Pelodiscus sinensis: one gene and its partner. The protein of the gene in region 1 purifies or fractionates together with the protein of each later gene. This does not show direct contact. Links are inferred from orthologs where the notes say so. Each region holds a gene or a part of one and is shown in the gene's direction. Other genes may lie near its edges. The genes, in order: ABL2 and RIN1.

What was found.
Region 2: the proteins of ABL2 (region 1) and RIN1 purify together in Homo sapiens (co-immunoprecipitation; 3 studies listed by BioGRID and IntAct, counting the BioPlex papers as one, with this or other methods). This does not show direct contact. The link is inferred for Pelodiscus sinensis from reciprocal best matches to the Homo sapiens genes ABL2 and RIN1.

The regions. Positions count from the first base shown.
Region 1 is NC_134719.1:59,803,575-59,811,335, forward strand, and holds the start of ABL2 (tyrosine-protein kinase ABL2), read left to right. Parts: upstream 1-4,563; 5' UTR 4,564-4,756; coding exon 4,757-4,931; intron 4,932-7,761. UniProt on the Homo sapiens protein: Non-receptor tyrosine-protein kinase that plays an ABL1-overlapping role in key processes linked to cell growth and survival such as cytoskeleton remodeling in response to extracellular stimuli, cell motility and adhesion and receptor endocytosis.
Region 2 is NC_134721.1:32,368,571-32,376,364, forward strand, and holds the start of RIN1 (ras and Rab interactor 1), read left to right. Parts: upstream 1-4,576; 5' UTR 4,577-4,907; coding exon 4,908-4,933; intron 4,934-5,071; coding exon 5,072-5,273; intron 5,274-5,889; coding exon 5,890-6,004; intron 6,005-6,170; coding exon 6,171-6,243; intron 6,244-7,347; coding exon 7,348-7,439; intron 7,440-7,794. Other genes in the region: BRMS1 (breast cancer metastasis-suppressor 1), read left to right, coding at 421-460, 663-795, 1,583-1,700. UniProt on the Homo sapiens protein: Ras effector protein, which may serve as an inhibitory modulator of neuronal plasticity in aversive memory formation. Can affect Ras signaling at different levels. First, by competing with RAF1 protein for binding to activated Ras.

The DNA.
Region 1 (7,761 bases):
GTAATATAGAACATCCAAGAATGCTCAGACAACATTATTAGCTGAACATTTTAATTTCTCTTTTTGGAACAGAGACTGCATGCAGTGTTTGTGACCAGTGGACCATTGTCAGTATTTGGGAAAAGGGACTGTGAAATTTATGTATGGCAGATACTTTTAAATTAGTAAATAAGTGCTTCTGGCAATGTCATATTTCACTTTAAAGTTTTTTTTAAATCTCAGTTTTATCTTGGCTTTTTGGTAATTTTTCTCCTGTATCCCAAACTGCTTATATGTCAGAAAACTCATTGGAAGACAGAAATTGTCAGGACTAAGTTTTTTAGGAGGCCTTGTTTATGGATATTGCCAAACCTTTTCAGATTAAATTAGCTTTATATAACAACATATTTATGATACTATATGAGGCTAGTAACATTACAGTTGATGATAATAATTATCATTAATATACATTTTCCTCTTCAAAGCACTTTGAAAACATTAAGTAACTTATACTCTAAGCACTCTAAGGATGAATAATGATTAGGCCCACTTCAAGGATAAGAAGAGGTGTGGCCAATGGGAACACCATGATAAAGTGGCAGAAAAATAATTATAATTTAAGAATACTTATTCATATTCTCATTCTGGCTCTACTAGATTATTAAGAAGCTAATTGCCTCATCAACCCAGCACTTGCTACCCAAGTTACAGTGATACTATTAAGAAGCTAATTAGGCACAATATATTGCATGGTTTTCAAGTATTATATACATTTTATCTATCTATCTATCTATCTATCTATCTATCTATCTATCTATCTATCTATCTATCTATCTATAATAAAATAGTAAACACTTTGAAAATATATTAAATGGGCTGTTATCATCTCGATCTGACTCCATCTCAGTAAGAGGTTTCTGTGCTGTGGCTCCACGTCTTGTGGCATCAGCATATTACTTAACACAAGCTAGTTATGCAAAGATATCCTGTGATGTCATGAGATCTAAGGAATAAAAATTCTGTTTTAAACAAATAATGCTGGATACCCTTCTGGACCCCTCCTCCTCCAGAAATAAATCTCTCTCAACATTGGCATATTCTTTTAAAATACTAATAAACGTCCTTTGGAAAGTGCTCTGAGATCTATGAATGAGAGGCAGTAGGAAAGCTGTTATTGCTACTAATTTTAAAGTGGGGTTCTACTCTGAAATGTGACTCTGTAAATGTCAGTGTGGAGTTTTAATTTTTTTGACTTGCAACAATTCTCATAGCAAATGTGTTCAGTTTACAATTAAAAGATTTTTTTTAACTACCAGCCCTGCACATAGAAGATCTGAAAATAAACTTGATCTTTTTTCCCTTGTCACATGTGCCATCACCAATAAAAGATTCCACAGGCCAACAAATACCTGGACTGTCCTATTATCTTCAAATTCTGACCTCTTTTCTACCTGTGCAACCCTTTGGAAGCCAGAGTCAGTGACTGGATGTTGGTAAATAGAATCCAGCTCACTCGGTTATCTGTGTTGTCTCTTCATGCAAATTGAAGTAAAACATACATGTTATAATCTATATATCTATATATATCTTATTACTTTAGGCATATGTTTATCTCCCTCTGTATATAAAAAAAGTTTTTCCTGCCGTGCAACTGAATTACATCATCAGCCTACTTGAAAGTGAAGTCTCAGCGTCTCGCTTACTTCTGCTTCAACCAGAACCAACTGTGAAACTGAGATCTGTCTGTACATCTGTCTATAACATTTAGTATGTGAGCAATAGACCAATTAAGTTTTTCTATACATCTTCATTTGTTCACTTCTATATAATCAGTGCAAGTTTAATAGGCTCTCTGGAGTTGGCGAGCATAGCAAACATGGGGCACAGCCCCTCCCGTGTGTGTGTATAAAGCATATTCCAAAGGTTATAAGATTCATCTCCAGTAAACACACAAATAGGACCAGTTTGTTAAGTTAGAAAGTGCTTACATAGTCACTTTTTAAAATACCTGTACAACCACCTTTTAAGAAGCAAGAAGCACTGAAATAACATTTTAGGCAAAGATAAAATGAATTATTTTGCATCTTCATTTCAAAATTGCTCACTTCCAAATAGGAATGGGCTAAACTGATCTGAAAGATATTCAGATCTTTCCAGTGTAAGAGGTCCCAGACTTTTAAGTGATATAATTTAATTTTGAATTTGTTCTAAGTGAATCATAGAAACTATGACTGTAAGTTTAATATGAATAATAATTAACTGTGTCTTAATTTAGTGTAGATAGTCATATTTAGCTCTACTCAAGTTTCTTCTCTTGTGCCTATCAACATGGCATCTGGGTACTTTCCAGAAGTTGAAGTGATGTAATTAGCATCTCTCATGTGTGAATCTCTTTTCCTCCCTTCCCTGCTCCCCAGGAGGAAAATTGTGAGAATTATTTTTAAAAATGTTTTTCATTTATGTTTTGTAAATATTTAAGTGTGCCTACACTTGGAATGGAAAGTGCTGAAATTTTAAGTCATTCTTAGGTTTTACAGTGGTTCATTGCACAATCTTCAACCAGCCTCTAAGAAAATGCTTTCTCTTACATAAATGAGCTTTCCCCTTGTGCCTCCCATCCTGCCAGCTTTAGCCAAATGAAAAATAAAGGGGAACAGCAAAATTTGAAACAAAACCCCTCTTTCACAGTAGTCACTCCCTCTCCTCCTTTTGTGGGCTTTCCATATCTATTAGTTTCCATACTTTCAAATGCTTACAGTTTGTAACTGGAACATTACTTAATATATTTATGTAACCGCAACGCTTGTTGAAAATTTGTCCATTATATGCCTCAGTATAATTTTGTGCTTAATGTTAAGATGTCTGTTTTTATTAGTGATTATTTCTGTTAAGGTCATGATAGAAATGTAGCCGTGTTAGTCTGGGGTAGCTGAAGCAAAATGCAGGACAATGTAGCACTTTAAAGACTAACAAGATGGTTTATTAGATGATGAGCTTTCATGGGCCAGACCCACTTCCTGGGTCTGGCCCACGAAAGCTCATCATCTAATAAACCATCTTGTTAGTCTTTAAAGTGCTACATTGTCCTGCATTTTGCTTCTGTTAAGGTCATGGTGGGGAAATCACATTTAATTTCTCATATAATCAGGGTACGCTTTCTGGGTCAAACATATGCCAATTTGGAATTTTTAGACCTTTTGGGATATAATAAGTATTTGCATGACTACTAATGAAAATTACATTAAAATTGACCAAATGTTGAAAGGAAATGAAAAAGTAGAAGAGGACCCCCCCTTTGAGAGTGTAAGGGTATGTACATATTCTACAGCAGTATAACTGCGATCATGCCACTATAGTGTAGACACTTACTACAGTGATGGGCAGGGCTTTTCATTGCTTCTAAATAAATCCACTCCCTCAGAGGAGGTAGCTAGGATGAGGGAAGAATTCTTCTGTTGACCTAGCTGCATCTACAGTTGGGATTAGATTGACCTAACAGCATCACACAGAATATGACATTTCTCACAGCCCTGAGCGATGGAGCTAGCTTGACCTTCACTGTAGGTTTAGCCCAGGCCTAATATTATGAAATGATCCTATGGCATGCATGGTGAGCAGTATTTCATGTATCTCAGTCAGATTTCTACAGAACAAGGGAAGGGCTTGTGTTCACAAAGAGCATTTATGGGACAGGAGAGAAACAGGGTAGTGCTGTGGGGATAAATAACAGTAGGTAGTGGAGAACACCGAGCTGTCAAGCAGACAGTGGGGGATAGTCAGGATGACACTGTAGGTGGAGAATGGGTGGAAAGGCAAGAGGGGGGGATGGAAAAGGGGGTTAATTTAATCGGTGTGGGCTGGGGGTTCAGGGGACCCAGAGGAGGATGGCAGGGGATGGGCAGGTCGTTACTAGGCAGTCAGGGGATAGTGCAGGGTGGGAAAAGGGTTGGCAGGGGAAAGGAGAGATGGGGTGTCAGGGAGGAGGCGGGAGGGGTGTGTGGTTGCTGGGTGATGTCAGGGCAGAGGTAGGTGGGCTGGGCGTTGCTAGGTGACGTAGGGAGGGGCAGAGGTGTCAAGGAGGGGGCAGCGGAGGCTGGGTGATGTCAGGGCGGGGTCGGGCGTTGCTAGGTGACGTAGGGAGGGGCAGAGGTGTCAAGGAGGGGGCAGCGGAGGCTGGGTGATGTCAGGGCGGGGTCGGGCGTTGCTAGGCGACGTAGGGAGGGGCAGGGGTGTCAAGGAGGCGGCAGAGGAGGCTGGGTGATGTCAGGGCGGGGTCGAGCGTTGCTAGGCGACGTAGGGAGGGGCAGGGGTGTCAAGGAGGGGACAGAGGAGGCTGGGTGATGTCAGGGCGGGGCCGGGCGTTGCTAGGCGACATAGGGTGGGTAAGGGTGTCAAGGAGGGGGCAGAGGAGGCTGGGTGATGTCAGGGCGGGGCCGGGCGTTGCTAGGCGACGTAGGGCGGGGCAGGGGTGTCAAGGAGGGGGCAGAGGCGGCTGGGTGATGTCAGGGCGGGGCGGGGGGTGGAGCTGGCGGTGGCAGGACACCCTTGGAGGACCGGAGGTGGGTCTCTAGGAGCCGCTCTGTCCCCTCTCCCGCAGCTCTGTGGTTAAGATGGCGGCGGGGGCTGAGGGGGCGAGTCCGTGAGTCCCAGGCCGGAGCGCGGCGGGCTGGGGCGGGCAGCCCTGTGGGGAGCCCCGGGCCGCGGGCGCAGGAGGCCACCGGCAGCGGAGGCGGCATGTGAGTGAGGGCTGGCGGGGGCCCAGGACGGCAGCGCGGGGATGGGCCAGCAGGTGGGCCGCGTCGGGGAGCCGGGAGCCGGGCTCCAGCAGCAGCCGCCGCCGCCTCAGCAGCCCCGGGGAGCGCGGGGGAGCAGCGCGCCCAGGCCCGCGGGCCGCAAGCGGGAGGCGGCCGGGCGCGCGGCGGAGAGCGGCTTCAATATCTTCACCCAGCACGGTAAGGAGGGCGGGGGCAGCCGCTGGGCACGGGGCGCCCCGGGGGACCGCCGGGGCAGGGTTTGCCGGGGAAACGAGAGGAGGGGCCGGGGGGAAGGCACCGCGGCTGCGGAGGGACAGTCGGGGGCAGCCGCACCCCGCCCCTCCCCCATCGCTGCCTGCGAGGGCACGTGTGGGGGGCAGCCCCATGCACCCCCTTTCCCCATCGCTGCCTGCGGTGGCGTGCGGCCTGTGGGGGGAGGGGACTGGCGCGGCTCCCCGAACGGTTTCTGCCAGAGCGGGGATGGGGAGGCACGTAGGGTCGGGGTGGAGGGTACATCCAGGGCTCTATGTGCCTGCACAATCAGATTCCCTGGAAGGCGAGCGATGAGAGGATGCTTCCCTTCTGAAGTCCACCACCTACAAAGCTCTTATTGCTACAGAAACTTCCACCCATTTGCCTAGCTGCTGTGTCAGAGGGCAGTGATTTTTTTTTTGCTGTTTCCTTATCGGTAAGGAGGTGGCTTATGGAGACAAATATGAATAAAAAATAGACACAGAGCGAAGTACGCTATCTACCTTTGCAACACCTCTGTGAACTTCTTTGGGATGAGCCCCACATAGTCAGACCTTTGTCTGTTCCAGGGGATAAGTACTGAACACGTTTCTGACTTAGTCTTGCCCTTTATTGCTGACATGGCTTTCTCATTACTAAGGATCTATGGAGCAGGCTGTTTTGTTCTTGGCATGGCTGTAATAGTCGGTACATCAGCTGACTTAGCGAAGTCCAAATTTGCCCCCTCCTTTCACTTTACAGTAATAAAAATACTGACTATGAAAGTGAGGTTACAGGGGGGGAAAAAAGATCCTCTTAAAAAGCCAACCGTCTCAAATACTGTACCTTTATAATTTTTCTGTGCCTTTTTTGTCCATTATAATACACTGGAAGGTTGAAAAATATGGTAAACAAAGTAAGAGTGCAAGGAGCTGAAGTGTAATGGTGGTGCTTTTTGTTGTTGTTTTAATTTGAAGACCTGAATTTGCTACTGAGAGCATTATCGATTTTTATTTCAGCTAAAGCAATCATGTTCCAGTGTTCATGTGGCAAAACTGCTTCTGACAACTTAGCTCTTTCTGAGCCCAACAGAGAGTGCATATGCATTAAGATACTGGACTGCTGCTGGTTACATGTTTTTAATGTAAAGTCATCCCCTATGACAGCTGACTTGCACAGCTTAGTAAATCAGTGATACCTACCACGTGGCAGAGACAGTGTGTAACCTTCAATATAAATTCACTTTCTAAATATACATCATGTATTGATAAGATTCTAAACAGTTTATGAACTTCAGGACATTGTCAACTTAAAAAAAAAAAAAGTAGCTTCTTTCCACAAGTCTGCTGCTGTTGCTGAAGGTTAAATTCAATAAAAAAGATTAGAGAGGAAAATATTCAGTTGGATCTTGTATTGACCCAGTGCCAGTGTATAGTCAGTTTCACTATTTCCTCTGTACAGTTAATTAGTTTTCCTTATTTGCGTGGGTCTTTCACACACCATCAAAAGAGAAATTATTAAAAGTAGGAAAATTACTGCAAACCCTGAAATTGACAGGGAGACTTGGGGGCAGGTGTAGTTAAAAATACCAATGCTTCAATTTCATGCTGAAACCAAAAATCTTTATTTCCCTGGTAGAGCTGTTATGAAAGACTGATGTCACAGTCTAAGTTATCCCTTTAATAACAAAGTACCTCTCCTTGGTGTTTTGGTAGCAAAGAAGGATAGTGATAACTTTGTAAAGTATAAGAGGCAGTGCTGGTCATAGAAAGCAAATTCACAGGAAGTACAGTATATTATACTAGATAACTAGAAGATTACCCAGTGCCAGTGTTGCTGGGGTCTTTAACTCAATTAATTTTGTTCAGCTAAATCTGGGGTGGGGCTGGGAATGGGGGGTTCAGGCTGCATTAGGGGGAGTGGACAGCCCTCTCACTGCAGCAGTGTGGAGCCAGGTGAGAAGTGCCTGTCCATGGCCACTTCAGCTGGGGGAGGTCCAGGTCTGCCCCCTGTGCTCCCCAGACACATTGAGGAATGCAACAAACTGTGCACTTCTCCCTGGCTCCCAATGAAGGAGAACATCCAGTAACGTTCCTGTATGAATGGGGGGATCCCAGCAGGGAGCTGGGCACCCAGGCTGCTGGATTCAATGCGAGTTGGGACCAAGCAGTCCCAGCTCGCTGCTCCTCTGCATTTTAAATGTCGTGACTTTTATTACATTTAAAATGCAGAGCAGCAGCATGGGTGGCTTTGCAGCTGGCTGCTGGAGCTACCTCTGCTGCGGTTCTGCACAGTAGCGCTTATTCACTAATCTTATAGTTGATACAAATTGTATTGACTATACGATTAGCCAGATAATTGTGTTTTAACGTCCTTAGTATATTGCATTAGGAACTAAAGGCCATACCTAAGTTTACGGTCCTGTTGTGCTAGGTTACATACACTGAGTAAAAGAGTTCATGCCCCAGAAAACTTGCCTGAACTGCCAGAAGGGGGAGAAAGGAAAGAGATCTTTCTGCTGTTGTGGAGTTGAGCCACAAGTTATGTCCCCTGTCACTCCTCTGCCCAGCATCAGTTCCTGCTCTCCCAGGCTCTGACACTGATGTCTTACAGAACTAAGGAGAAAGGGAGTATGAAATTGTCAGCCTCATAGCAGAAAAGCTGGAGATTGGGCATTTCTCTGTATTATTAGCAATTTAGTAGATTAAGACAATTACAGTAGCTCTATTTTTTCCACTATTTATATTGCTTGCGTTTAACTCTTAGTTTGAACAATGGCTACTAGTTAAGATTGAGA
Region 2 (7,794 bases), on another chromosome or scaffold:
TAATAATCCCCTTTCTAGCACTGCTGTTCGGGATCAAACACCTGGAAATGGGATTATTTTCTCATCTATTCTTTATATACCCTTTTAAAAAGTCACCATGTGCATAGCTGGAAGTCAGGACTCCTGGGCTCTGGGAGCGGATCATGAGGTCTGGTGGGTTAGTGTGATAGGGAAGGTGGGGAAACAAGACTCATGGGTGGAGAATGAGGGCTGGAAATCAGGACTCCCCGGTTCTGTTCACTGCTGCTGAGTGAGTACCTTACCTTATGCCTCAGTTTCCCCATCTGTATGTCAGGCTAATGCTGCCATCCTTCCTGAGGGAACAGCATGGGTGGGATCCAGATAGCTCAGTGAGCAGCGGTATGGGGTGGAGTGTGCTCCCTGCATAAGTTTCTCTAATCATCTTGACTCTCCCTACAGGCTAAAGCAGCCGTGTCCCCCCAGAAAAGAAAAGCAGATGGTAAGAGCTGGGCAAGGGATGAGATATGGGGCCTTTTTCTCTAGGGGCACAGGTTCCAGTCTGGCCTCTGGTGTCCCCTCGTGTCTCAGCCAGGACATGAGCCAACTTGGCCCTGCAGCTGCCATCTGCTGCCAGCAGGGCCTATCCCCATATGTAGGGGCTGCACCAGCCCCCCTACCATTGACCACCGCTCTCCCCTCAGTGCTGGTGAAGGTGGAGAAGCCGGGAGCCCAGTTCTCAGCGCGCTGCGAGGACGGGCGACTGCATTACGAGGGTGAGATCTACAGCAAAGGGCAGAGTGTTGTCCTGGAGGTCGGGGACGAGGCGCCTGCGCAGTGAGTGGCCAGGAACTGGCTGGCTGGAGGGTATGGGGCACGGGGCCTTTCCCTTCTAAGCGGCACCAGCAAAGCCATCCCATCCATAGGACGGCATGGAGCGGCCATCCCAGCCCCAGGCCATGGGGGCCTCAGAGTGATCCAGGGAATTGCCTGGAGGCCTGGCTCAGGGCAGCAGGGGGTCATCCTCCCACTCACTGTGATGGTGGAAGCCAGAGTGACCTGGCAGCCTGCTCTGCTCTATCCTGCTGCCCTCTGCCAACCCGCTGAGCTCTGGGCATGTGATAGCCAGAAGCAGAGCGCCCCAGCCACAGCGGGCTGGAGCAGAGGGGGCTGCTGGGTGAGCTGTGTTACACCGCTGCTGTGGTGAGCGGTGTGTTACGCCTGCTGCCGCCTCGTCCTAAGCTCCCAGCTAATTCCCTGGATCACTGTGGGACTCAAACCCTCAATACCAGGGCAAGAGGAGGTAGAAGAGTGTGGGGTGAGGGCAGAGCTGGGGTGATGCTTGGAAGGGTTAAAGCTGTGGCAGGGCCTGGGATGGGGAGATTTGCTCTGGGTTTCACCTCTGGGGTATAGGGAGAGATGGTACTGCCCCAGGCCCCATTCCCCCTGGGAATGGCCCTGGGCACCAGCTCTGATCCAGCCCCAAGGCTGGCTGGCTCGGGGTAGGGAATGGGATACAGAGCCTTTTCCCGAGACGGGGTCTGGGGGACCCTGAATCCAGCCCCAAGGTGGAGAGGACTGACTGTCCTTGGGGGGGCTGGCATGACCCCTCTCTCCCCTGCAGGGCAGTGATCACGGCTGTCAGCACTGGGGAGGTCTGGCTGCGCCGGGAGGATGGCACCAAGACCAAAATCTACGTCTCGCAGCTGCAGAAGGGCAAGTACTCGGTGCGCAAGGCCTGAGTGGGGCTCAGCCCTGCGGCTTGGCACAGGCCTCCTCCTGGACACAAGGGCCCACAGCTCGTCTGCGGTGCAGCGAGGGGCTGGGCGGAGGCTCGGCTTGCTGCCCCCTTGCACTAGGACCCAGATGGAGAGGACTCTGGGGCCCTGCCCGGTGGAGTGTTCACATGGCCAGCGCTCCCGTCACAGATCCCTGCAGACAGACCAGCACGAGGCTTCACCGCTCGCTTCCCTCGCTAGGACTCTGGTGTTTGTAGCAATCTGGGGGGCACGTAACTCCCTGTGTCCGGGGCTGTTGTGCCCCACAGGGAAATAGGGATGCTGGTTCCAGGGGCTTCTGCAGGAAAAGCCCTGGGTCTTGACCAGCTCCCTGGAAGTGTTCACATTAAAAACTAAGCGAAACATGCACAATCTTGGCTCTTTGATTCATTTCAATGTATTCTGGGGAATAGGGATGAGCTGGCCTGGGGGGTGAGTGGGGTGTCTTCTGTATCCCTTTGAGGCACAGAATGTTCCCAGCACCATCCCCTCAGCTACGTGCGCTATCCCTTGTCTGAGCCCTCTAGACCTGCTGGCCACAGTTCCTTCAGGGCGTGGATCGCTTTGGTGTCAGGACCCTCCCTGACTCCAGCCTGTGCTGATTCTGGGACACACAAGTGGCAGCACCTTTGGGACCCTCCCAGTCTGCACTGTTGTCTTTTCTCCAGCCTCCCTTCCCTTTGGAAAAGAGAGCCACCTCCGCTCTGTCCCTGGCCAGATCCTACTGCTGGGAGCTGCTCACATGGGTGACAGTCTGGGGGGCCTTGTGTCTGAGCCACACCTGTTCTCATCTAGGCCTCCCCCAGCACCCTAGTGCAGCTGCCTGCACCCTGCCAGTGCTCAGCAGAGCAAGAGGGAGCACAAATGGGGGACCCCTCTGCATGAGCTGTACCCCAACTTCACAGGCCCTGGAGGGGCTACAAGGGCATTGGGGTGAGTGGGGCTGGGTCACAGGGGGGATCTGGCACAGAAGTGGGAATCCTGCCCTGATCTTGGTTCTTCCCCATGTTGGACTCTCAAATCCTACTGGTCCCTCCCCACAATGGGGCTTTCGCCTGATGCCCCATGAATTGTCTAGAAAACTGATCTCCTGAATCCCAGCCTCACACTACCCTTCCCATGGCTCAACCCCCTTCTCTGCTGGCCCAGCTGTTTGGGGTCTGGGAGCCAGAACTCCTGGGTTCTAGCCTCAGTTTTAAGAGCTCTATGGGGTCAAGTGGGACAGGAGCACTGGGATCCAGAACTCCTGGGCTATGTCTACGCTGGCGGGTTCATATGCAAGAACACGTCTTTTTGCGCAAGAGTGTCCATGGCAGTGTGGACACTCTTGTGCAAGAAAGCTCTGATGACCATTTTAGCTATAGGGGTTTCTTGCACAAGAAACCCCTGCTGGATGTCCACACTGCCCTCTTGCGCAAGAGGGCTTACACTTATTAGAAAAGAGTGTAGCTCTTGCGCAAGAAGCCCTCTCTTCCCACGCTTTACTGTAAATCTTCTTAAGCAAGAGCAGGCGAGCCCTGTGGACGCTCTGCAGAAGAATGGCTGTTATTGTGCAAGAACCCACCAGAGTAGACAGCCTTGGAGTCTCTCCTCAGTTTTGGAAGGACTGTGGAGTTCGCTGGGTTGGGGGAGTGCTGGGAGCCAGAACCCCAAGGTTCGGTTTTGCAGCTGGCTGTCTAACAGTGACAGAGCCCTCTCCCTGGTTTGTGCCTCGGTTTCCCTTCCTGTATTGGGAGCCATTGTGGTCTCCCTGGAGAGGGGAAAAGGCATCTGCAGGGCTCCAGGGTGGAGGATGGGGACAGATACAAAACCCAAGACAAAGTAAGACCTGGGGAATGATGCCCAGGGCCCCTGATGTCCAGGGTGGCCAGGCAGCTGCCAGGGTTTGGCTTGTGGCCTGGACATGCTCAAAGCCCAGCACATGTGAGTCTGACATGGGAGTGAAGGGAATAATAGATTAATAATGATGCTGAAGGTAGCAAAGAGGTTATGAGAAGGGGGCCCTGCCAGGGCCTGCAATGGGGGCCATTTGGATGGGAACTGGGAGAATGGAAGAGGACACTGGGGGCTCTGCCCGGGATGATCTGAGATGCCAGCTCCATTCATATCAAAACTTCACTCCTGGTAAGATGGGAGCACAGCCCAGCAGTCAGGATGGGGGGAGGAGGGGAGAATCTGGCTTGGTTCTGATGGATTTTCCACCTGTGGCTAACTTTCTTTGTCCCCTGGCTCCTCCTTCTACTGTCCTGGCTGCTACCGACTGTCCATACAGCCTACAGCCCTCGCATTGACCTTTCTCTCCCAGCTGGAAGAGTAGAGTCTAGTGCTTAAAGCAAAGTGCTGGGAGCTAGGACGCCTGGGAGCAGAGTGGTGTCTAGTGGTTAGAGTTGGGGGTGGATTAGGAGTCAGGACTTCTGCTTTCTGTGTTTAGCTGGGGGGTTGGAATCCAGTGGGTTCGAGCAGATGGGCTGAGAACCAGCACTCCTGGGCTCTGTGTCAGCTCTGGCTTGGGCAGTATGCTTTTCCGGGCCTCAGTTTCCCCCTGTACAAAAGGAGTGAGCTGGTAGGCTGGTGAGTTGTGCCTGCCCCGCTTGCCCTGGGGCTGGCTGGCTGATTAGATCTGCGCCCCCGCACGGGCTGTGCCAGCCTAGAGAGCTTTGCCTTGGGAACGTGACTGCGGGGGGGGGGGGGGCGTCTATCCCTGCCTGGGGCTGGCTCCGCCCGGTCCGGGCCTGTGCCATGGCTGGGTGTGACGGTGAGTCACAGCCGACGCGCATTCCACTGCTCCGGGCCAGGTTTGGCTCCCACGGAGCCGGGGCACTGGCTGTGGAGCCGATACCGGGACGCAGCTCTGTGTGCAGGGCTCCCTCGCCCCTGCCTCCCGCTATAGACCGCGCCGCGCCCCACCCCAGAGGCGGCTGCATCTCAGCGCCCCGCCAGGGCTCCGTGTCGCGTGGAGAAGCAAGTTCCCAGCAGGAGCCACGTGGGTCTGAGTCTTGCCCTTCCTGCTCCTCCTGCCGCCTCCCTCCCGGGGCGTTTCGGGGCTGGCGCAGGCTGGGCTGGGCTGCCCCGGGCCCGGAGAGCTGGTACCAGGGGAAGGGGGCGGCCCGCTGCGCCTCCTCTCCCTGGCAGAGGGAGCCTCGCACCTCCGCAGCCTGGTCACCCGGCCAGATGGAGCCCCCGGACCAGCCGCACGGGTATGGCCGAGGGGCCTGGGCCGGGAGGGGCGGGAGCCAGGACGCCTGGGTTCTGCCCCAGCTCTGGGAGGGCGGGGGCGGGGGTGGGGAGCCGCGACTCCTGGGTTCCTAACTCTGGGCTCCCTGCGCTCCTCACAGCCCTGCCTCCCCGCTCCGCCTGGCGCGTGACCCCGTGTACGATGTCCCGGCGCCGCACGTCTGCCCCCAGCCCAGGCCCGCACGGGGGGCTCCGACCAGCGTCAGCCTCCGGGATCGTCTGCTCCTCACCCAGCCCGTCTGGCTGCAGCTGAGCCTCAACTCCGCCACTGCCCTGCACATCCTGCAGCGGGAGCCGCCCGGGGTGAGGGGAGGGGGCTCTGCCCTGCTGGGCTGAATGCTGAGGGCAGTGGGTTCATGGGTCTGATGGGCGGCACGCTGGGGAGTCCAGGGGTCTGATTTGGAGGGGGCACACTGGCTGAGCCCATAGGTCTGATTTGGAGGGGGGCACACTGGGTGAGTCTATGGGTCTGATTTGGAGGGGGCACACTGGGTGAGTCTATGGGTCTGATTTGGAGGGGGGCACACTGGGTGAGTCTATGGGTCTGATTTGGAGGGGGCACACTGGGTGAGTCTATGGGTCTGATTTGGAGGGGGCACACTGGGTGAGTCTATGGGTCTGATTTGGAGGGGGCACACTGGGTGAGTCTATGGGTCTGATTTGGAGGGGGGCACACTGGCTGAGCCCATAGGTCTGATTTGGGGGGGCACACTGGGTGAGTCTATGGGTCTGATTTGGAGGGGGCACACTGGGTGAGTCTATGGGTATGATGTGGGGGGCTCCCACACTGGATGAGCCCATGAGGCTGACGGGAGATCCCACATTAGGTAGATCACTGGGGCTGAACAGGGCCCCGGTGGATATGGAGTCCACAACTCCTGCATAGCCCCTGCTGTGAGGTGCTCCCTTCTCACCCCAGACGTTCCTGGTGCGCCGATCAAACACACGCCAACGCCGGGCCCTCTGCTTGCGCCTCCTAGATGACCTGGCACCGGCCTTTGTCGCCAGCTACAGCCTGCAGGAAGGACCAGCCGGTAGGGATGTGCGCCTTAGGGTTAGCTGTGTGCCTGGTGCCCTATGGAGCCCCCCACTCCCTGCAGCATGGTGCCCCTGGCACAGCACTGGGCCAGTAAGCAAGTACTGACTTCCGGGGAGAGCGCCTCTCAGCACTGCAGGCTCTGAGGGTCCATGTCTTTGCAGGAGTCTCCCTGGAGGGCTCATCCCGGAGCTTCCCAGACCTGCTGCATCTGGTAGCCTCCTACTGCCAGAGACGGTGAGTGGGATCAAGGGGAACACTCTGGCTACATCTACACTGGCCCCTCTTCCGGAAGGGGCATGTAAATTTCATGAGTCGTCGTAGGGAAATCCGCGGGGGATTTAAATATCCCCCGCGGCATTTAAATAAAAATGTCCGCCGCTTTTTTCCGGCTTTTAAAAAAGCCGGAAAAGAGCGTCTAGACTGGCCCCGATCCTCCGGAAAAAGTGCCCTTTTCCGGAGGGTCTTATTCCTACTTCAAAGTAAGAATAAGAGCCTCCGGAAAAGGGCACTTTTTCCGGAGGATCGGGGCCAGTCTAGATGCTCTTTTCCGGCTTTTTTAAAAGCCGGAAAAAAGCGGCGGACATTTTTATTTAAATGCTGCGGGGGATATTTAAATCCCCCGCGGATTTCCCTACGACGACTAGTGAAATTTACATGCCCCTTCCGGAAAAGGGGCCAGTGTAGACGTAGCCTCTAAGATCTGAGCTCCAGCCTTCCCCTGCTCCCAGGGGACTAAGATCCTGTAGTGCAGTGCTCACCAACCAGTAGATCAGGATCTACCGGTAGATCTTGGTGCCTCTGCCAGGTGATCCTGACTGGTTTGGCGGGGAGGCTGTCACGTGCCGGTACTTCAACTGTTCCTCCCCACACTGCCTTGCTGCTCCTGCCCAGAGCCTCAAAGCTGCCCCCTGGGAACCTCCTGCTTGTTGTGCAGAGTGGAGGAGACAGAGGCAGAGGGCGCTGATGTCAATCTGTCCTGCTCCCCTGTACCCCATCTTGACAGAGTAAGGAGGGTGGGACCTCAGGAAAGAAGTGGGGCAGGGCCTCGGAGAAGGGGCAGGGCGGGGGTATTTGGGTTTGAGGTAGATCCCAGACTCACTTAGATTCAAAAAGTGATCTTGTGCTTAAAAAGGTTGGCAATCCCTGGTGTAGTGTCTGGGGCAGTGGGACTGGGGGAGGGTTATGGAGCAGAGGGAGTTGGGGCAGCTCTGAGGCAGAAGGGGATTGGGGAAGAGTCCTCAGGGAAGGGGGGATGGGTAGAAGGGGATTGGGAGGATGCCGCTGGGAGAGGAGGGAGCCCTGGAGTTGCTACTGGAGTCTGATACACTGTCCCCCTAGGGAGGTTCTCCCTGTGGCCCTGCGCCTGCCCCAGCCCATCCAGCAGGCGGTGTCACACAAGGAACTGGAGTCCATTTCCCACCTGGGGCTTGGTGAGTTGATCCCCCCCCCACACACACATCTCTCTTCCCCCATCCCCTGCCCCACATCTTGCTGCCCCTGCACTCCTCTCCCTGATCCTTCTCCCTTCAGGCCCCCTGGTCCCTCCCTCCCCACCCTCTGTCCATGCCTCATTTCCACTTCATCACCTCCATCCCCACAGCCATTCCACTTTCCCCATCACCCTGCACTCCCCATATAGCTGGGAAATCCCTCCCTCCCTCTAGTTCCCCTTCTCTCCCTCTAGCCTGGGCTAGATTGGAGCCAGCGCCCCCTAGAGGGGAAAGCCCTACCCTCCCCCCCCCCCAGCCAGCCAGGGCCCCCACCTTGGGATGGATCAGAGCCAGT